Oreochromis niloticus: one gene and its partners. The protein of the gene in region 2 purifies or fractionates together with the protein of the main gene of each other region. This does not show direct contact. Links are inferred from orthologs where the notes say so. Each region holds a gene or a part of one and is shown on either strand. Other genes may lie near its edges. The genes, in order: cnnm1, ptp4a1 and cnnm3.

What was found.
Region 1: the proteins of ptp4a1 (region 2) and cnnm1 purify together in Homo sapiens (affinity purification with mass spectrometry; 4 studies listed by BioGRID and IntAct, with this or other methods). This does not show direct contact. The link is inferred for Oreochromis niloticus from reciprocal best matches to the Homo sapiens genes PTP4A1 and CNNM1.
Region 3: the proteins of ptp4a1 (region 2) and cnnm3 purify together in Homo sapiens (affinity purification with mass spectrometry; 6 studies listed by BioGRID and IntAct, with this or other methods). This does not show direct contact. The link is inferred for Oreochromis niloticus from reciprocal best matches to the Homo sapiens genes PTP4A1 and CNNM3.

The regions. Positions count from the first base shown.
Region 1 is NC_031978.2:18,197,698-18,204,751, forward strand, and holds the start of cnnm1 (metal transporter CNNM1), read right to left. Parts: upstream 3,089-7,054; 5' UTR 2,523-3,088; coding exon 1,076-2,522; intron 1-1,075. Other genes in the region: hpse2 (inactive heparanase-2), read left to right, coding at 6,613-6,998. UniProt on the Homo sapiens protein: Probable metal transporter.
Region 2 is NC_031971.2:5,687,429-5,695,159, forward strand, and holds the start of ptp4a1 (protein tyrosine phosphatase type IVA 1), read right to left. Parts: upstream 3,023-7,731; 5' UTR 2,881-3,022; intron 1,137-2,880; 5' UTR 546-1,136; coding exon 441-545; intron 1-440. UniProt on the Homo sapiens protein: Protein tyrosine phosphatase which stimulates progression from G1 into S phase during mitosis. May play a role in the development and maintenance of differentiating epithelial tissues.
Region 3 is NC_031972.2:10,683,008-10,690,680, forward strand, and holds the start of cnnm3 (metal transporter CNNM3), read right to left. Parts: upstream 3,071-7,673; 5' UTR 2,621-3,070; coding exon 1,925-2,620; intron 1,835-1,924; coding exon 1,500-1,834; intron 337-1,499; coding exon 160-336; intron 1-159. UniProt on the Homo sapiens protein: Probable metal transporter.

The DNA of each region.
Region 1 (7,054 bases), on a different chromosome or scaffold from region 2:
ATTAAGTGTGCACAAATAATGTAAAGGTGAAACCAGGCTTCACACCCAAGAGAGACACACAAGCGATGCCGACACACATATAGGTCAAGTGTGAGCTCATGGATCACTTGTGCCAGACCAAAGCTATATTTCATAATCCCAGGCACGGTGAAGTGTAGTGGACCTCCTGAACTGTAAGTGGCAACATAATTCATTACCCTGCCAAGGCCAGCTGCATTCAGCTGACATGTATTGCCCTTTCTTTGTCTATAAAACAGATTTCCATCCTTGCATAACAGCTGTGGCAGTGGCTTCTCGTGTGTCTTTATTTTACAGTGTGACACTGTCAGTCGAGCAGTCAGAGGTTTTCGCTACTGAGCACTAAATCGGAATCATATTTAATGTTACCAAGGCTGAACATAGTCCCTAAATAGAGGCAATGCACTTTTCCTCTCTAGTAAACAGATGCTATCACTGCATGTGCGGCAATACTGTCAATTCACTTATCAGCAAAGATGGCTATCAGAGGAGAGAGAAAGACGAATTCTGGTGTAGGCAAATCGTGCAAAATTCCTTTTTTGATACAGTTTAGCATTTCAAGCATTTTAAGTGAGGAGCCGATAACTGATACTTGCATAGAAATGGGGTACCGAGCATGGGGCCAGATGAAGTTCACAGTGTTGTCATGGGAAAACGACTTAAATCTCTCTCATCACATAAATTCTTAAGATAACCCTATTATGGTAGCCTCTAAACTCTAGCTGAACCAAACACACTGTGTGACACAGTATCAGATTTCACATATGTCTCTCACTGCTCTGGGGATCAAAGGGCTTTACTGGCAGGCCCACTTTGAGCCAATGGGCTGATGTATACATTGACTTCTGGACTGAAAATGTAGTTCTTAAGTGCACAGTCACTTCAAAGAACATTTAACTCCTAACTGGTGGGAGGTTGCTTTAAAACATATGGTGCCTCACATGCTCAGCTGACTTCTTACTCATAAGTTGTGTATAGGTCCTAGACAGGACACACAGGGAGATATGGAGACTGCAGAGACCAAACCTCTGATATGATTTAAAGTGAAGCGAGTTACCTCTCTTAAATTCCTCCAGCATCACGTCCAGCTTGGTGTCACTGAAGACGCAGTGCATTGGATGCTTGTAAAACTGAGTAATTGTTTTCAAAGGAGTGCAATCGTCAGGATCCACGAAGGCTAAATCTTTGACAAAAAGGATGTCTACAATGTTGGACCTTTCGTTCTCATAAACAGGGATGCGTGTGAAACCGCTCTGCATCACATCTGACATGGTGCAGAAGTCCAGCACAGCATCTGAGGACAGCATGTAACAATCTGACAGCGGTGTCAGCACATCCTCTACGGTCTTGGTCCTAAGCTCCAGGGCTCCCTGAATAATGTTGAGCTCCTCTTTGACCAGGTCGTGGTAGGGGTCTGTGACACGCAGCATGGCCACCAGTTTCTCCCTGGTGTAAAAGTTGCTGATTTCTTGGTGCAGCATAATGTCCAGAATCTTGGAGACCGGGTAGGCGATGGGGAAAAATATCAGCATCAACAGGCGGGTCGCGCACAGGGTCTTGGATGCGATGGCGAGACTGTGCCTGGATGCCACTGAGTGAGGTAAAATCTCGCCAATAAAAAATATCCCCAGAGTGCATGAGGCAGTGGAGAGAGCGGTCATTCCTAAAATCTGGCACATCCACACCACAAAACACGTGTTTGTAAGCACGTTACCCAGCACCACAGTGCAAAGGATGTAATTGCCATGTTTACGCACTGACTCTATTTTTCGCGCGTATTTCTGTTCTTTCTCTGTGCCGCTGTTCTGCAGGACCCGCAACTCGACCGGGTCCAGAGACAGCATGCTAATATTCAGCCCGCTGCACAGAGCAGACAGCCCCAGCAAGAGCACAGAGACTCCTGCTTGCAGCCAAGCATCTGCCTCTGGAGGTCTCTCCACCACAGCCAACCAGAAGTCTTTGGTGCTCAAGTGCTCCCATTTCACTCCATCGAACGCGCACATGGAGTAGTATTTGATCACCTCGTCTCTGCGCAGGTCTTTGGCGAGCAGCTCCACTAAGACTGAGTTATGACTTGAGGTGGATCTGAAGGAACCCAGCAGCTCGATGTCTGAGCTCCGGGCATTCTCCTCTTCGCATGGATTCCCCCTGGACAGGAGCGGACTTTCTGCATCTCCACTGTCCCCACCTGGTTCCTCTATAAACGCGATCCACGGAGCGGCAGGTGCTGCGTCCGGTCTGCCGCTGATGTTCAGGAAGTTGGGATTTTCGGTAGCTGGAGAAGCGGAGTAGTAAACCCTCAGCATGAAGCGGGTCCCCTCGGTAGCCCTCAATATCCCATCCTGCACGGACAGTTCTCCGCTCTGGGTGTCTTCAGGCCGGACACCGAGCAGCGCCGCTGTCTTGGCCGGCAGAGAGGAGATGGTGACGGTAAGAAAGAGGAGGGAGAGCCGGCGCGGATGCAGGATGCTGCAGAGAGCATCCGCAGCATCCGCAGCCATCATGCTGAATGAGCCGCTGAAGGACACGGGAGAACTGGGTCACGTGGTTTGCGGATGGGATGGATGGAGCAGCTGGGTAACATGCCACGGAGAGAGAGAGCAGAGAGGAATTCAAGTGTGTGTGCGTATGTGTGTATGTGTTTGTGGGCTGGCACCTTAAATATAAATGACAAACCCTGACGTAAGCCTCGCTTTTTTGCTTTCTGCCGCTTTCTATAAATAGAAAGCAGGAAATGCCCAATCATTTATGATTCATGCGACAGAGCACCTACAGCTACGCCAGAGGAAGATATTTACTTGCTAAATAGTAAGGAGATACAAGCTGAATACAAAAAAGATTGGGATGTGTATCAAGAAAGCAAATCAATAGAAAGAAATGCTATGTTGTGTTGTGTGCCAGTTTGTGCGTTAGTGCAGAGCTCAGACTCTTATTTCATTATTATTTTTAGTTATTTTTTTATTTATTTTAAACTCCCCGCTAGATGGCAGCATCGCCACCTGTTTTCGGTGTAGTACAGTTTGAAAAACTGTACTTGTTGGCTTTTAAGCATAAACACATAAATGTAATGTGTTTCTAAAATCTCTGTTATAATAGTTTGTGTTTTAGTATCCGCATCCCTTAACAAATTAAAACAAAATGTCGCTGTCTCTAAATCTACTTTAAAACAACACTCACACATTTTATATATATGTAAATATATATATATATATATGTATATATAAATATTATAGATATCACTTTTACCTTCTATATACTTTGGAAATATTATATGACAAGGAACAACGTTTTACTGACTTCCATGACGTTTAATGTTGACATGAAGAGGATTGTTCTTGTTTGTTCGTTGGGATTTTTTTTGTAAAAACAAAGTAAGTTGTAAATAAAACAATTACAATCAAGTCCCACAGATCATTATTATTATTACTATAGTTATAATTATTATTATCACCATTATTATTTTTTATTGTTGTTGTTGTTATTATTATATACCGTTCAGTGATCAGCTGTTTCAGATCTAACGCATCTCAGTTCGGTGACCGGTTTGTGGGATTTACGATGCAGAAAACTGAAGGCGCAAAGGGCAAACAGTCATTGCCACGCTTTACTCAGACGACAAAAAACAGCAAAACAGGTTGTAAAACTGTCACTCCAACTGTCATCCTAAAGTCATCGACAGACGATTTTCCTGATAAAATTACACATTAAATAGTTTGCCAAACAAAACCAAAAAATATATGCGTATAAAAAAATTTCGCATCGTTAAAGATTCTGCTGATGTATAAATATGTCGACTATATGTTTTACATTAGATATTTTTCATGATCGATCAAAATAAACGCATTGCAGGCGGTAAAATAAATCTTAAAGAAAGCCAACCATTGAGTCCGCCCAACAAAAGTCACCGAAAATGCTCTGACGATTCAGTGTATTTGTCTAAACCTAATTCTGCTTAGGAAGTTTTTAAACTTCTGTATGCTCTATCCTTTTATTCAGCCACCCTGCTGGATGAATGATATAACTCATGCTGCTTTTCTGCTGCGATCAGTGTTGCCGAGTAATTTTTCCCCTCACAGAGCAATAATTTCCCACGATTGAAGCAACAGATCTTGATTTTTAAACAGCAGCAGTGTCTTTAACATTAAACACAAAACAGACAGAAAAATACTCAGTTTAATTAAAGCTGCGAATCATTTCCTGAACAAACTATTGTAAAGTTTACATTCAAAAGAAGCAACGAGAACATTATCGCACATCATGACTAAACTCTCCCTTCAAATTATTAAATCCGAAATTTCAGTAGGTTAGATTTGATCGAAGAACTAGTCTATTGTAGTAGTAGCAGATTATTTTTCCTCACCGAATATGTTTAACTGATTTAATATTTTCCTAGAATGTTTTTCTTCTTCCACTGACAGCTTAAAGTTAACAACATAACTTTATATATAACTTGTGCATTTTTCACTTCTTTTTATACCGGCCCGTGGAGGAGCTGAGAGTGTAAAAAGTCACCGCTCTGTTTTATATGATTTAAATTAGAGTTTCAAATCCAAAAACAACAAACCAAACCGTTTTCAAATTTCAGCAGTACAGTCGATCGGTAAGCCGTAAAGGAGTTAAAGGTGGTCTAACATTCACTAAAACAACAGCAAAGAGGAAATATAATAGACAAAAAATTCCCTGCGTACTAATCCACATTATCCATGCCATTTCCTCTTGGAATATTATATGATAGTGCTGTTTCGATAGGCTAAAGTTTCCTTTTTCCTTCTTTTAGAAAAAAATATCCTCAAGGGTGACATAGATGTCCCAAAACGCATTTGAGATCTAATTATATGAAAATGTTAAATATTTTTCCACTGAAAACTAAAACTGTGGTTGAATTGAAAGCACATGTTAATTATGATGTTATCGGCGCCAACTGACAATATGAAGAAATGCGGAAAATCAGACTTTGTGCTTTTCTGCTGCTCATGTTGACCGTGGGTCTGCTTCTTCTAACAGGCCGGAGAATACAGGCTACCACCCCACAGAGAACGTTACTTTAGAGTTTCTGACACTCGTAAGCGACACTAAGCTGTGCATTTAAACAAAGAAATATCAGCCCACTTTGTACCATATAAAATCAAAGGATGATCTTTTAATCTGCTTTGTGGGGACCGTTTGCGTCCCTAAACCTACAGAGCTGACTGCTTGGATGATTTTGTGTTGTGGCTTCGTGGATTCGTGAGTAGGTGTTGTATACCGGAAAGAAACGATAAAATTGAGCTTAACTTTGTGCATTTTTTTCTCTTAAGCACTTCGTTGCTCATCTGTGAGACAGCAGTGACCTTAAACGACCAACGTTCGCTACACTGATCGCCCCAGGAGAGCTTGGCGCACTGCGCCCTGGAAAAAATAAATAAAGGGGGGGGGGAAAGCGCAGTAGCCTGCACCTTGGTTGGTGTGTGCTTGCTCACAAGTGTCCCAAGAACATCTGGTCTAAAGCCATATAAAGAATTTATAGGTAAGTTCCATGTGCAGAGACTTACATCCCAAATTGGTTTTGAATGCTTCTGAAAAGAGGCCAAATATCCAGACTGGCATCTCCAAGTGCCATCTTTAAAATGTGCAATCAATAATCTGTTTGTCAAGAAAGCAGAGCCTTTGCAATGATCATGAGTTATGCTGCTGACAAGATCTGTTCTTGTTTTGAAGCTGAATTTTTGTTCTTTTGAACAACAGCCTCGAGATTCTTTTACGTTTAATATTTTCGACTTTTTGCTGGAACGTTTAGTTTAAGAAATACGACGTAAAACGGGCGAAAACGACCTTCAGTCAGTCTCTGCAGTAATAATTTCTTACTATGATGTACAACTGAGATTTTCAGTTTAGCCAGGCGATTAGAGGCCTGCGTACGGTCAGCCTGAGTTTAGGTGAGTTTAAGCACAACTTCTGGAAGATCTTTATACAGTCTCCCATTTCGCTATCAATATAGTTATTCTAAAATTATTTTTTTCATATGACAGTATTGCATACATTTAATCCAAGTTTTGCTTTTCTTGAGCTTTTTTTTTTTTTTAAAAGATTGATCATTATCTCTGCGAAAGGACCAGCCGCCATGGCTTATCATTTTTAAGGAAAAAAGCCTTTTATCCTCGCCCGAGGGACTTAATCGCTTCTAAATATGTACTCTTCTTACTTGTTGATATTTGAGTGTAGCTTAATTACTGGACTGAACTTGAGTTTTCTACAAAATCTGATTTTGATTTTACCATTATAGCAGCGTTTTAAGAAACAAAGATTCATGTCAGTTTCTTCAGAAAACAATAACCTCTGTATTCGGTGTTTAGGAAAAAAAACTGCAATCATAGTTCGTAAGACTAAATTCTTATACTTGTGAACTGGGAAAACTTTCGAGCAGTCTGTCCTCATACCTCGGAGAACCTTAGAGGGGCGGTGCTGTCTTCTCTCCTCCTCCCAGTTCTAGCTCTCACAACGGGAAAGGCTGGCTCGGGGCGTGCGCTCTTGCGTGCAGCTCCCAAAAATACTCGGAGGGGCGGGGGGGCAGAGGCGGGGGGTGAGACAGCTAGACAGGAAGACAGATCCAGATCGATGAGACCGAGGTATAGAACCGCCATCGAACTCCTCGGCAGCAGAGTTTGTTTAGTGCTTGATTTCTTCCCACCTTTAAGCTTCTTTGCGCACACTGATCCCCCTGCTCTCCAAACCAAGAAGATGCCCAAATCCTCTCCGCGCGTATTCCCATGGCCCTCCCTGTGGCTGGCATCGTTGCTTATTTTGATGGTGCAGTCGGTGCTCTCTTCCTCCTCTACGTATCAGAGACCTGCAGTCGCTGGGAAGCGCCAGGGCTTCTTGGAGAGGACGCTGGTTCTCCTGGATGTCAACACCCGCAGTTCAATCAGAGTCCTCAACGAAAACTTCCTCTCTCTGCAACTGGACCCCTCGATCATCAGAGACGGATGGCTGGACTTTCTGAGGTACAAAAGAACCCTTTCCTGCTTGTCGTCTACATCGATCTGTATGGGTGCCCTCC
Region 2 (7,731 bases):
GCTTCGCCCATGGCTATTTTACTGACATCCCACTGCCTCTGGTTGGCATATGCTACTAATCTGTTCTTGTGTGTATTTCCCTTTCAAAGGAAGGAGGTACTGTCTGGTAGCTCTTTTGTAATGTGCAATTTCTTCAAGTTTGTGAAAAAAGCCAATTATTAAAGGAATCAATTGATTTTAGTGACCAATTTTGTCCAATTGCCCAACCTTCTAAAGCACACAGAGTAATACACCTACATACGTCAATTCCTGTAATCTAAAACGATTTTGAAGTCATTGCTTTCATTGGCTGAAACATTTCCAGGAAAGATTTAAACTGTGGTGGTTTCCAAAACATTTCTCAACATGTAATCACCAGTTACGTGCTTCTCCAATGTGGGCTTCAAGTAATATACACTCTGTAATATTATATGTAAACAATTGACCACAATTTGGCTCACCTCTACGAACTTGTTCAGGGTGGCGTTGGTGGGATTGTGGGTAATGAGGAACCGCATGTTTTTGTAGGTAATCTCCACAGGGGCTGGTCTGTTCATTCGAGCCATTGCGACAATGCGAAAAAATGTATAACAAAACTAAAATGTCTTCCACAGAGTAAACACTAATGTAAACAGTTAAACTCGGAGGGAATGTCAAACAAATGTCCAACAAGTTTTGAGGAACTCGGAAAGAAAAAAATCCTCCAGTCTTCTTCGAGGTTGGCAAGGCTAAGTGTCAAAATAAAATAAAAACAAAACACCCCAAAAAAGAACAGTAACAGGCAAATTTGGGAAGTTGGCAGCCGAGAAGGGCGGACAATTGGAAAAGTAACTCAAACCCTCTCCTTTGGAATAAAACAAAAGAAAAGGAAGAAAAAAAAACCAAGGCTGGTTCCACCTTGATTCTGGCCAGGCGGAAGCCGACGAGGGCAGTGTGCAGCAGGTGGAGTTACCCCATCCAGGCCGAGTTATCGCTGGTTCTGGGAGGAGTCCCGGTCCTGCCAACTTTCCGGGGTCCCTCCTGTGGCTCAAGTGCGTTGGATCGATGGCGAGTTTGGCTGTTCACTCGTCTGCATAGGCAGCGTGCTGAGCCTGGCAGTAGTCCCCACTGCCCTTCAGAAACTCCATAAATGTGTGACCCAGAACACCACAGAACTGCTGCAAGACACAGAGGGGGCAGGAGGGAAGAAAAGCTTATTTTTTATTTTTTAAAAACATCTTTAAAGAACACAAAAAGCACAGGCAACTGTTCTCAGTGTAGTTCAATTAATTTGCAAAAAAGACAAACTTTTACTGAGAAACAGTTTTTACTCACATTCTATTTGGAAACTGTCCCTCATTCTTTTCCTAAGGCACAATAATCATGAAATGGAAAATCTGATATTGTGACAACTCTAATCCCCAACACATATCCATAAGCCCCTAGTCAAACATACCACTCCATCAGAGTAAAAGACAAGGGGATTATATCATAGAGGAAGCACAGGGACAAAGTATAGACCTGGATTCAAAGCAGCCGTGAAACAAGTGAGAGATTTCCAGTAAAGTCATGATCCATTCATTTTTAAAAGAATAAAACAAATTTCCTCATTTGAATTTTAGAATTACCTTCAGACAACAGTACAGAGTCTGGCTAGAAACACAGATTTAGGGTGTAATGACAGTAATCGAATCCCACAGCTACTCTTTTTTTTTTTTTTAAATTATACCAAGTTTCACACTCAAGTATGTCATCAGCCACATTAACATTAGTGTCTTTAATCTCCAAACAGAGTGTCTGGGGTTTGATTCCCATGCAGAGAAAGTGGTGTTTCAGATAACACAATGATTAACACAGCAGAGCAGACTGTACCTGCCAGTATGTTACATAAAATCACACTGCAGTGCTGCCCGCTGTACAACAGAAATAAAATATATAACGTGTCATTTCTGACATCCAGGTCGTATCTGTGCTCGAAGGCTGAGCTCACCGTGGGGCCTTCAGCGGGGCTTTAACATACACGCTGTTATGATCGTCAGAAATCTGACTCACAAATGCTTTCTCTGCCATTTCCTCCCTAATGCTTATGCCCTTTACTCCTCACAGAAGCTCGATACCTGAGCGCTGACTTACTGGAAAGGTTTTCTTCATCTTATTGTAGAAATAGTAAAATCTAAGCCGGTCAAGCATGCTTTGTTAATCTGCTATTTTCCGGCGGAAAAGCAGCATTTACTTAGAAATATTACCAAGCACTTAAAAGCCACTGCCTAACTAAAAAGACAGTGATTTGTAAAGATAAGAGAGGCGTGAAGCAAAGCAGAAGTGGCTTAAATAGCAGGCATGTCTCTGCACTGCATTACAAGGCTGTAAAGTGTCCTTTGTGTGAGGATAGACCGGGCGCCATCATATAACATTAGAGGCCTATAGGCGCCGTCGGGAGCTGTGACGGACTGCACGTTGCTCTGAGGTGACAAAAAAGACTCCCGACTCAGACACTGGGCAGGTAGCCAGTCTCGCAAACCACTAATAACACGTCATTTACGTGTTTCATTTATTTCAAATAAATATGCATCGATTTTAGACGGCAAAAACTTCGAGTGAAGAGCCGGGACCAGCCCGAGCTGCGCATCCGTCAGCCGCTTCCTAATCGTGACGATTATCATGCAGCTCTAAGATTGCACTCAAATAACAGGACCAAATCCATGTTCTGTGAATTTTCGTTATAGTTAAATGAAAGAGGCAACGTTAAGCAATGGCATTGTGGAAATGTTAAACTGGGTTTTTATCGAGCAGGCCGTGATTTCATCGAAGCAACGTGAAGGCCAGCTGGTAACAGTTCACCGTAACGTACTGATTTACAAGAGGAGCCTAGGAGACGAAACCGAGAAACAAAATGGCAGCCACGAAAAACAGGTTACTTACTGGGATATGCTTACTCATTGAAGATTGTAGCTTAATCATACAGCCGGTCCCTAGAAAAAGGTAAAACTATGAAACGGTTTTCCACCATAAAATCCTGTGCTGTTTCTCCGAGCGGAGCCGAAGTCTCCTGATCTGCCGGGAAAGAGCTAGAGAGAGAGAGAGCGCGCGAGAGCCCGAGATACTAACGTAATTTCCTGTCAGGACTTTCAATATAAAACACTGTTCAGTATTAAATATACACCACATTTTCGGTTTTTACTAAAGGTTTCTGGTAGCTGAATTAAATGTATACTTTTGTAGCAATATACACTATGTGAGCATACAAACAAAAATATTCAAAATCTTAAATAATGAAATGTTTAAAACGTCCCAATGTGTAAATGTCTTGATGGATGCTCATGCATCATGCTCCCATTCACTCGTTTACAGAGCTTTATTTTGAAGCTAAACCGAACTTCCTTAACTCTTTGTATTTCTTTCCTTTTGCCTTTAGCTTGACTGGTCTCGTGAAACCCCACCCTGAAAATGTGTAGTGTTATGTCCAGACATCTCCCTGTCTCCAGGCTGCAAAGGTCAGTTGGTGACTGTGGACTAAGTCGTCCTTTACTTCCAGAAAATACACAAGGACAGAGGATGCCCGAAATCACGACACCATATAATTATACATGTGTGGTTCTTTTGACTTAATGTGAACAGACCTTTGTGTAGATAAATTTCATAACTTGAAATGGAAAGGAAAATTCCAAAATTAATTTCTGAGTTTTAAAGCTTGGGATGGGATAACACCATGGTGCAGTGGTTAGCACTTTTGGCTCACAATAAGAAGGTCCTGGGTTCAAATCAACCGTCATATTTACAGGGTGGTAGAACTACATGTACTAATGGAAAGGTTGTTGGTTTGATCTCTGGCTCCTCCAGTCTGCTACTATTCCAGATACTAGGCAAGATATTGAACCCTGAGTAGCTCACGATGTGTTCATCGTAGTTTGACTCTTTATAAATCTTAGATAGAAAAGGGGCAGCAAGGTGGAACCGTGGATAGCACTGTTTCTTCACAGCAAAAAGGTCTTGGATTTCAATCCAACATCTGGCCAGGGCCTTTTTGTATGGAGTTTGCATGTTCTACCCGTGTCTGTGTAGGTTCTCATTGGGTACTCTTTTTTTTTCCTCCCACAATCTCGGGACATGCAGTCAGAGGGGTTAGGTTAACTGTGGATTCTAAATTGTCCGTAGAAATGAATATGAGTGTGGATGGATGTCTGCCTCTTGCCTTATGGCAGCTGTATTAAATGTTCTGTTAAGTTAAATCCATGTGATAGTCTACAGCAGGGGTGGGCAATCTCAGTCCACGAGGGCCGGTGTCCCTGCAGGTTTTAGATGTGTCCTCGAACCAACACAGCTGATTTAAATGGCTAAATTAGCTCCTCAACATGTCTTGAATTTCTCCAGAGGCCTGGTAACGAACTAATCATGTGATTCAGGTGTGTTGACCTAAGGTGAGATCTAAAACCTGCAGGGACACCGGCCCTCGTGGACTGAGATTGCCCACCCCTGGTCTACAGGAACATCTAGGACAAGCATGGGTTAAAAGTTCCCAAATCCAATGGAATACTCAGCAAGAATTCGTAAAAAAACCCCCCCCACAATAGCTGAGATCCTGTGGGAGTGCAACGTGCAAAGAAACAGCCGCTGCTGAAAACATAACCAATACGTTATAATGGCCAACACGGAGAAGGTATTCGACTACATCCCTCAAAGTGCCCTGGTGGGAAGTCCTTCTTGAGCATGGGATACTTGGTCTATTCACACTCCATACAACTATAGTGATTGCTTTGCATTGCCACCAATAGCTGAGACTCAACTTGTGGTCATTGGACTCAACCAGGGGTGCCCTTTCTCGCTGATATGGTTCATCATAGATACGTTGGATATGTTTAGACCTCAAGAAGCCTGTTAGGTGAGAGGTAAAAGTCTTCAAAAAACTTAAAAGTAGTCCAGTCACCTTCTTTTTAAGATTTAAGATTTTTATGAGTAGAATTTCTAGTCATCCAGTGGTAGTTTTAAGAACTTGAAAAGAAGGCAACTAGACTTCTTTAAGTTTGTGAAGATGTTTCACCACTCATCCAAGAGATACCTCTAAAGAGGAGTCTTGGGTGACGGGTTAAAAGTCTTCACTAACTTAAAAGAAATCGAGTTGCCTTCTTTTTCACTTTCATGGGTTACATTTTTTCCACATATCACAGTACTTTGGATTTCACTGAAAAGTCAACTAGGAAACAGTTTTTGGATTTCAATATAATAATATTATTGCTTTAAAAATTTGAAAACGGTGTAAAAATATGAAGCACATTTTTTATAAAATTATCAAGGAAAAATAAATCGAGAATTAAATGTATTGTAGATTCACCACTGTCCTACCTTGTCATATGATCAAATCTGCTTTGTATTCACTGGATGGTGTCTTTGAATGTCCACCGGTAAAGTTTAATCTGTCTGCATAGACGTAAATCACATGATTTTCTTCTCTTTTTGCTTTACTCTTGATTTGCATCTGTACAAAAGCTTTGATCAAAGTAGTTATTTCTTAATCTTTTATAAATTCCCTGTTTAAGAACAAGAGCCAGATCATTAACCAGCGCATTAAACTTAATGCTGAGAGGATGTGAAGCTGATCTGTAGAGCCACTGAGTCATACTATTTGATGAGTAATTCTTAAGTCATCAGGATCTAATTCTGAGTCATCAGAATCGAGTAAGAGGAGCACCAGAACAACTGAATAACTACAACAGGTACAATAATCCCCACTAAACATATACTGAACAAACCTTCTTTTAAGGTGGTTTATGAAATTGGTTAAAAAGTAATTTATTATTGATTTACCCTCATAGTATATAGCTTATTTTGGGTAACTTTAGTTTTGACTTATTTTTCAGCAAGTAAATTAAAAGACTGATTAACTATTACATGATATGGATTCCCGTTAATTACTTGAATAAACTGGAAGCTGACAGCAGTTAGTTAGTATATAGCAAGTTCTCAGAACATAAAAACATAATGTACATGAAGGATCAAAATGTTAGTAATAAGCAAATAATAACATTTACATGGGAAAGAAAATGCATATTTTCTCTTTATGTTTTCTCTTTAATTAGTACCAAATTACATATTTTTGTCCTTTGAAATTGTTGGGAAGTTTCTTGTAAAAAAACTGAACCTTTCTAGCCTTTAAGTCATTGAATAGGGTCATTCATGACTCCAGCAGTATATTTATATGTGCTGTTGTATCATTTTAATTGTAAAAATATTTTCCATCATACATTTTTCAATCTACTTATACAACCTTTCAGACTTTTAAAAGAAATTGGCTTATTAGTATGGTAAGAATAATGGAAGGTTCTAACCCTGGAAATATGTGTGTCTGTTTGTGTTTAACATTATAGGCTTTGATTTGATTGCAAAGTTCCACTTCTAATCATTATACTACATTGTGATGTGTCACAGTGAACCCTGGCTAACATTGTTTTAAACAGGTAACAAAAAATAGAAAAACAGTTTAAAAAATCCTGATCATGATGACTTCATCATAGCCCAGCATTGATTAAGGTATCATCAAGTCACCCGTTCATCAATATTTTGTGGTAAAATACATATTGCACTCAAACATACCTTAAGTTTTAAAATGAATTGTCATAAAGATTATTGAAAAAAGTAACAGACATGAATTATCTAAATTAATGTAGATTTTTTAAATCAAATTTGTGTTTTTTAACTATTAGCATAATTAATGGTAGCAATAGCCTCTGACAGTGAACACATCTCTATGCTTGTCCTACCACTAGACCTCAGTGCAGCATTCGATACTGTTGACCACAATATCCTATTACAGTGATCAGAGCATGCTGTAGGTATTACAAGTACTGCTCTACAGTGGTTTGTATCATATCTATCTAATTTGTTGATATAAATGGAGAGTCCTCTTCACACAAAAAGGTTAATTATGGGTAGTCCACAGGGTTCAATGCTAGGACCAATTCTGTTTACATTAAAATTGCTTCCCTTAGGCAGTATCATCAGAAGACATAGCATACATTTTCACTGCTATGCAAATGACACCCAACTTTATTTAACCATGAAGCCAGACAACACACACCAATGAATTAAACTGCAGGAATGTCTTAAAGACATAAAGACCTGGATGGCCGCTAACTTTCTGCTTCTTAATTCAGATAAAACTGAGGTTATTGTACTCGGCCCTGAAAATCTTAGAAATATGGTATCTAACCAGATTCTTACTCTGGATGGCATTACCTTGGCCTCCAGTAACACTGTGAGGAACCTTGGAGTCATTTTTGACCAGGACATGTCCTTCAATGCACATATTAAACAAATATGTAAGACTGCCTTCTTTTATTTGCGCAACATCTCTAAAATTAGAAATATCCTGTCTCAGAGTGACGCTGAAAAACTAGTTCATGCATTTATTACTTCCAGGCTGGACTACTGTAATTCTTTATTATCAGGATGTCCTAAAAACTCGCTGAAAAGCCTTCAGCTGATCCAAAATGCTGCAGCAAGAGTCCTGACAGGGACTAGAAAGAGAGAGCAGATTTCTCCTGTTTTGGCTTCCTGTTAAATCCAGAATTGAATTCAAAATCCTGCTCCTCACATACAAGGTCTTAAATAATCAGGCCCCATCTTATCTTAATGACCTTGTAGTACCATATCACCCTATTAGAGCACTTCGCTCTCACACTGCAGGCTTACTTGTTGTTCCTAGAGTATTTAAAAGTAGAATGGGAGGGAGAGCCTTCAGTTTTCAGGCCCCTCTTCTGTGGAACCAGCCTCCAGTTT
Region 3 (7,673 bases), on a different chromosome or scaffold from region 2:
ATCCAAGGATTTACATTTATTAAACGTTATACCAAGAAGCCTAATTCAAAGCTGCCAATTCTACAGATACTCTGTTCAGATGAGGTAAATGCTGCCATGTCAAGTTTTTATGCCGTGTTTTTTTAAGCTGTTAAGTGAGTGTCGTGTTGCTGATCCCACCTCTCTTCCTCATAAATGGGCACACGGGTGTAACCACTCTGCATTATCTCAGACATAGTGGAGAAGTCTAGGACAGCCGAGCTAGGCAGCATGAAGCAGTCTTTCAGAGGTGTCAGGATGTCCTCCACAGTCTTAATGCGCAATGTCCCACGACTGAACTCCTCCTTTACAAACTCACTACAAACATAATGAAGAAAACAACTAAGTCAACAATCAAGTCAATTATCAAATCTTCTAGGCTAATCTTTAAGAACCAACTTCAAGTCAGGTCTCAAATCCTACAAATTTAATGCAGACTAGTCCTAAAAAAAGTCTATTGAACCAAGTTCAAGTCGAGTCTTAAATCTTTTGAAAATGAGTCTGAGTCCAGTCCCAAGACTTAATCTGTCTAAGGTGTTAATACAGTTAGGCCAATACACACATCAACCCTCACTTTGGATAGTCCAGGTAAAATGTAACGTTCTTTTAAAGGCAAGTCAAACTGAAGTCTCAAGTCTTCAAGAGTCTTGAGACTTAATCTGGTTCAAGCATCAAATTTTTACAGTGTTAGGCCAGGTCAGGTTTCAAATCATTACAAGGCTACTATGGGGTCAAATGTGAAGTCTGTTAAAAAAAACAAGTCTAAATTTCAAAATACTCTCAAGACTTTTAGGTCACGTGTGATTCAAGTTTCAGGTCTTTCATGGGCAAGTGTTAAGAAGAATATAACAATTGTGAAGTCTTTAAAAAGAAGTCCACCCTCAGAATAATCTCAAGTTTTTTGGACTAATCCAATTTGAATATCAAGTGTTTAGAGATCTAACCAAAGACAACCCCTAAAAAGTCAAGTCTTTCGGGTTCAAGTTACATTTCAAGTTTTTACGAATGATGTTCCTGTTAATCATTGGTTATGCGAACAGTACAAGAATGCAGTGGCCAAAATCACACAAAATGCTTCTGTTAAAGTAAACTGGCATTAATCATGAATCAAAGCATCTTAATGTGTCAAACATTTTAATCAAATATTAAACTCAAACTTAGCAAAAAGAGTCTGTGTCTGGAACACTAAATTGTTCCTGTATGTCAGTGAATCTAACATAATGTACCATAAGAATTATGCACTGTAGAGTATGACAGAACACACTTTTTGTTGGTTATGTCCTATAGTGTCTTTTTTTCTAGTTCTGTTTACTCTGTAGGTTCAGAAGCATCATTTGTGTTTTTCTTTCTTAAAAAAAACAAAAAACAAACAAATAGATTGCTTGATAACAGTTTTTTTTTTTTTTTTTGACCAAGTGTCAATACTCATCGCACCTCTATGTCAGATCTCTGTGATACTCTCCCAAGTCCACTATATTTACCTGTAAGGATCATTCACGTTTGCCCGTATCATCTCCATGGCCCTCTCCCTTATCCCACAGGTGCTGATGTCTCTCCTCAGCCCTAGATCCAGAATCAAGCCCAGAGGGCAAGACAGGGGGCAGGTAAGCACCATGCAAACCTGGGCCAGCCAGGTCAGACCAGGCGCTAGCTGGAAGCCGTAACCGGAGCACAAGATGTGAGGAGCCAGCTCAGCTAGGAAGAAGATAAGGAAGCCGCTGTTGAACACCGCAGAGGCGATGGAGCCCAGTGCCCGGTACAGGAGCACACCGAGGACAGAGTGCCCCAGAGCACACAGGAACAACAAAGAACATGCCTGCGGTGGAAAAGACATGCGTTTAGGAAACACTACTTCATTTGCACCTTTCTTTCCCTGTGGCTTCCCCACGTGCTTTTAGAAACTTACCATGAAGTTCCCCCTTCTCCTGATCGGCTCCAGCCGTTTGGCGGCTCGTTTCTCCTCCTCGGATCCACAGCTGTGTAGGACATAAAGCTCGACTGGGTCCAGCCACAAAAGGCTCAGGTTCACCGTCCTCAGCAATCCGCAGATCATAAGCACAAGCACTATCAGTACGGCCAGACCCCACGGCGGGATGTAGTCTGCAGGCAGATCCGTGTCGGTGTTTATTCGCAGTCTGTCCAGACCCGTAGATGTCCATTTCTCTCCACTCCACACACACAGGTGGTAGTATGTCTGCTCGTTGCCAGCTTCCCCCTCAGAGGTGCGAACCTCCACAGTTAGAAGCACGCTGTGCGCATCGTCGAGTTCTAAATTGGTCACCTTTAACTTGGAGTCCTGGCGGTTGGACTGCTGCTCGCAAGGGTCCAGTGTATCACCGACAGCTCCAGCCGCTCCGCCAGCTGCCCCTGCGAACTCGACCGACGGCAAGCTTCCATTCAGATTACACCCGAAGAGACGGAGCTTAAACGTGGCTCCTTTTGGTACTGAAATGATACGACCCTTCATGCACAGCGGATCCACTGGTTCTTCCAGTCGCAGCCCCAAAACCTGCGGAGCTTTCTGGCTGCAGGCGCCGTACCTGATTCCGCAGAACAACACTATCATCAACAGGAACCGTAGACCTGCCAGGCTGGCCACCATATTGGAATTGGTCAGCTTGGCTTTGCCTGGATCACGTGACTTTAGCCCCGCAGCGGCCCCACCCCCCGGGGGGTTGAGCCAACGAAGCAAAACAAACAGCGCAACTGAGCTGCGCGGCGGCCATTACGGTTCCAGACACGCGCGTACAGGCCTGATCCGCGAGTGTGGATGTGTCGTACATCTTGTTTTTATTGCGTCACATGCCTTTCAAGAAGAGCCGAGTGCAGCCTGTAGTGAATTTAAAACAGCGACAGACGCTCGCTCCCATCTTCTGTCACAATTTAAAACTGCATCACTTTGGGCCTCTTCTGTTAAACTAATACAGCTGTCAGTACTGGGAGAAAATATCACTTGTAGGCTGTTTGGACCTTTTTTTTTAGGCGGGCGGACGACCATGATGAGACCAAGGGGAAGCAAAACGGAAAACATGAACATAGGACAAGAACTACCAAAGTAAAACAGGAAACATGAGACAGTTCACAAAGACGCAGACTAACACGAAGCACAAAAACAAATGTAACTAGACGTGGAACCAGTGTTGCCAACTCCTCAGTAAGGAAAATCCCTATTGGTTGTCCTAAAAGTCGCTAGAAGTCGCTAAATGACGTCATCACCTAATTTGCATAATTGGTCATGCTAATGTAATTGTAACCTATGTTGTTGGAGAGAGAAATAACATCGTGGAAGAGACATAAAGTGAGTAAAAAACGTCCTAAATGCATTTAGAGTTTATTTAGAACTACAAATTAAATTTCTTTTAGCAATTATTGTTTTTTTTAATGTCACAATTCCAACCCTGCTCCTTTACCCGGGCTTGGACCGGCAAAAGTGGCCCGAAATAGGCACTCTGGTGGAGTTACTTTGTGTGTGTGTGTGTTTATAAGTAGTTTTAAACCTTGTGATCCACAAAACAGCATAAGAGTAAAAGAGTAAAAGAAGAACTGACTGTGTTACAGCACCCGCTGCTTGTTCAGAGTAAAAGCGATACGCGCTTTCACGTCTTTTTTAGCGACTTTTTAAAGAAAAAAAGTCGCTAGGGGGTCTGAAAACTCGCTAAATATAGCGACAAAGTCGCTAAGTTGGCAACACTGCGTGGAACATAGTTTTTGTCTGTATGTCATCAAATGAAAAATACAACAACTGAACAACCAGCTGTTAAGTAGCTAGATTCATTCCACTCCAAAAATCCAGTAGCTGGTCTCCTCAGCTCCCAGACGTTTACAGACTGTTGTCAAAAGAAGAGAGTGGTAAACATGTTTTATATGGGTTAATATTTCCTGTGCTCTTTAAAGATATTTAACCACCATTTGATGTGGTGGTTGTAGGTTGTAGGTGTCATAAGGATTTGCCTTTTAGATAGATAGATGCTATAAACGCCACCACTGTCACGTGAGCATTCAGGTGAAGCCCTGGGTTACCTTAGCGAGTTGATAACGAGCTTCATGTGACCATTTATCCTGATCGCGATTGTTAAGGTAAGTGAATCCAGATAACATAAAGATACCCTGAGTGTGTTGAACGAGATTTGTGACATAGGGTCCAGGTTAGGTTCCAGATTAGAGATTACCAGGTATAAAATCACCAGTTACTAACCAATCAGGTCTCCAGAAAGTGGTGCGACCACTGGAAGATTCCTTGGAGTTCTCCCGGAAAAGCAAGAGGATCAGTAGTGTCTAAAGTCTTTGTATTTCCTTGATGGTACTATACAGAGAGCCTCAGATGCAGCTTTACTGCTTGATTTTTTTCTGTAGGTAGCAGTTTTTCAACAGTATTGTTATTCTATAAACGCTAATATATTCTAACATAGGACAGAATCCTTGCTGAACTCAAAATCATACATAGATTAAGCTTATGTTTGAATTCTGTTTTTAAATTTAATCCTCTTTTTATATTTAATTCAACAGCATTAACTCCGCAACTGGAAGAATAAAAATAAAACTTTTGGGACTACATTATGTTATGTCTGGAAGTGCCATGTTTTACTGATTCTTTTATTTGCAACGTGCTAGTGCTTTATAGAATGTTAGCTGAGGCAGGGTGGGACCGGTAATATGGGTCAACAGTGCTACACGCAGCCCATTGGTTCATTTTCATTACCGACACTGGATTGCCCAATCAAATCTTTCAGCGCAACCGGCCTCTCCCGTACCTTCGCTGTGCCCTTACCCATCTTGTAAAACTGTGATAAGTGTGGAAGAAGTAGCGAAAAGGTGGAGCTAAAAAGCTGAAAGAGAAATAGAAACTAAAAATAAATGCAGCAAAATGTTTAACCGACATGTAGAATATGTGCTGCATCGTGAACTATATTACCCAGTAACAACTAGAAACCAGGCCTCACAGAGCGACAGAACAAGGTGTAATCAACGTGGTAACCAAATTGATAGAGGGACATAATCAAGGATTCAGGTAAAATGCGTGGATGCTTTGACCATGAGCCATACCTAATAGTTAAAGTGTAGCTTTTAAGTGTCATATGCTGCAGGGCAGTGAAACTAAGAGCTAACCAACAACAACTGGACCAACCTGATTATAAAGAAAGCCTCTCAATATCAATGAATTATGTACATAATCAATATAGATTTATTTTTGATGCATTTTTGTGAATGATCATGATTGGTCTCCTGGACAAAAAATGCCAGGCCCAATTTATTTGTGCCAGACTAGCCCTGCGCTAAGGGGATAGATTTTATGTGTGCAGGTTTGTTAAGCCGTACCTGAAATCACTGCAGCGCTACGGTTTTAATTTGATCATTTAGAAAATGTCATTATGCTCGATTCTAATCTCCTGCTGCTGGGATTGTAACTACTAGAATACAGGATTCACACCAAGAATACCTGTTAAATCAATCAAATTAATTCCACTTTGATCTACGACAAACTATTTCCATGTCTCCTTTATTAGACAATAAGCTTTAATGCTTAATTGTATCCTGTCTGAAATTTTAGAGCTCCAATGTACAGCATTCACCTCAGAAATAATCAGCAGCACTGAGAGTGCACTCGGTGATAAAATAATTAACTTGAATTAAAATGGCTAACCGTTGTTAGTTTTCCCCCAACAAGTCTTCTTGGAACAGCCACTGGCAGGGTGACTGTGCAGAGGTGTTGTAGTCCACAACAGAAGTGGAACACCACCAACTTGTTCATCTGTTTGATAAATTTTTCCACCTTACTGACACACCAGCTGAGGAAAAAACTCTGGTTTTTGGGAACCGTATACTTAGAAATGTGAAGCTAGAAACTCCAGCAACCCTTGTAAAATCCATTCCAGGGGCCAAAACAGGCAACAATGAATCCAATTACAAACTGCCGCCTAAGGATAAGCATAAATAAACATGCAATTCACATTGGCAGTAATGAAACCCTATTACATCAGTCAGAGGTCACTAAAATTAGCACTGGATCAGTGTGTAACTTCTAAAGTGAAATTGGACTCACATTGGAGTTTTGTTTTTTTTTTTGATACATTCTCCATTTTGACTAGCTAAGCGACAGCTAATTATCACCCTTCAACTGCTGGCTGACCAGGTGGTGTCCAGAAAACAATGTAAATTTTCTAGACAATTTTAAGACTTTGAGGAAAACTGAATTTTATTAGAACTAACTTTATCAAACCCACTCTGGATGTTCTAAGTCTGATTTCGAGAAATAAGGCCAAATGTATTAAACTATAACTGTAGTTCAATAAGGACACACACACACACACATATACACTCAAGCCCATAATTATTTATACCCATGGCAAATTTTGACTTAAAGATACTTTTATTGAACCAGCAAGTTTTTTTGACCAGAAATGACACGGATGTCTCCCAAAAGATAAGACTATGTACAAGAGGCATCATTGTGGAAAAAATATATATATTTCTCAGCTTTTGTTTACATTTTAGCAAAAGGTGTCATGTCCAGAATTATTCATACCCTTCTAAATAATCAGTATAGAAGCCTTTATTGGCTATTACAGCAATCAAACACTTCCTATAATTGCAGACCAGCTTTTTGCCCATTCATCTGAGCTTCAAATCTTTCAGTTGCCATTACTGTGATTATGTTCCCTGGTCCATTGCCCGAAAAACACCCCCAAAGCATTAGGTTCCCACCACCATGTTTAACAGTTGTGATGGTGTTCTTTGGGTTGAATGCTTCTCCTTTTTCACACCAAATGAAGGAAACATCATTGTGACCAAACAATTCAATTGTTTCATCTGACCATAAAACAGAAGACCAGAAGTCTTCTTCTTTGTCCAGATGAGGATTTGCAAAGACCAAGCAAGCTTTTGTATGCCTTATCTGGAGAAGTGGCGTCCTACTTGGTCTGCATTAGTGGAACCCAGCAGTGTGCAGTGTCTGCTGGACTGTCTGCCTTGAGACATTGCCACCAGCAGAGCCCAGATTCATCAGTATGGCCTTGGTGGTGATCCTTGGATTCTTTTTCACACCTCTCACTTTCCTCCTGGTCAGCACAGGTGTCACTTTTGGCTTCCAACCAAGTCCACAGTGCAGAACATGTTGTATTTTTTAATAATACTTTTCACTGTAGCAACTGGAACTTGAAAACAATTAGATATGGCCTCATAGTCCTTTCCTGACTTGTGAGCAGCCACAGGTCTTCACTGAGCTCCTTTATCTTAGCCATGACTGTCCACAACCCAACTGCAGAGAGCCGCTGTTTTTCACCTGTAGAGCAGATTAAAACAGCCGTTCCCAATTAATCAGGGTAATTAGTATGCTTTAGAACAGCTTGGACTATTTGGAATAGTCCATTTGGAACTTTGGGTTTTACCAGAGACTTTGTGAAGGGTGTGAATGATTCTAGACATGACACTTTTTGCTCAAATGTAAACAAAAGCTGAGAAATGCACATCGTCTTATTATATTATCTTTTGGGAGACACCTATGTCATTTCCAGTAAAAAAACAAAAACAAAACAAAACAAAAAAAACATAATGGTTAAATAAAAGTAACTTTAAGCCAAAATTTGCCAGGGGTATGAATAACTATGGGCTAGAGTGTATATATATGTATATATGTATATATGTATATATGTATATAT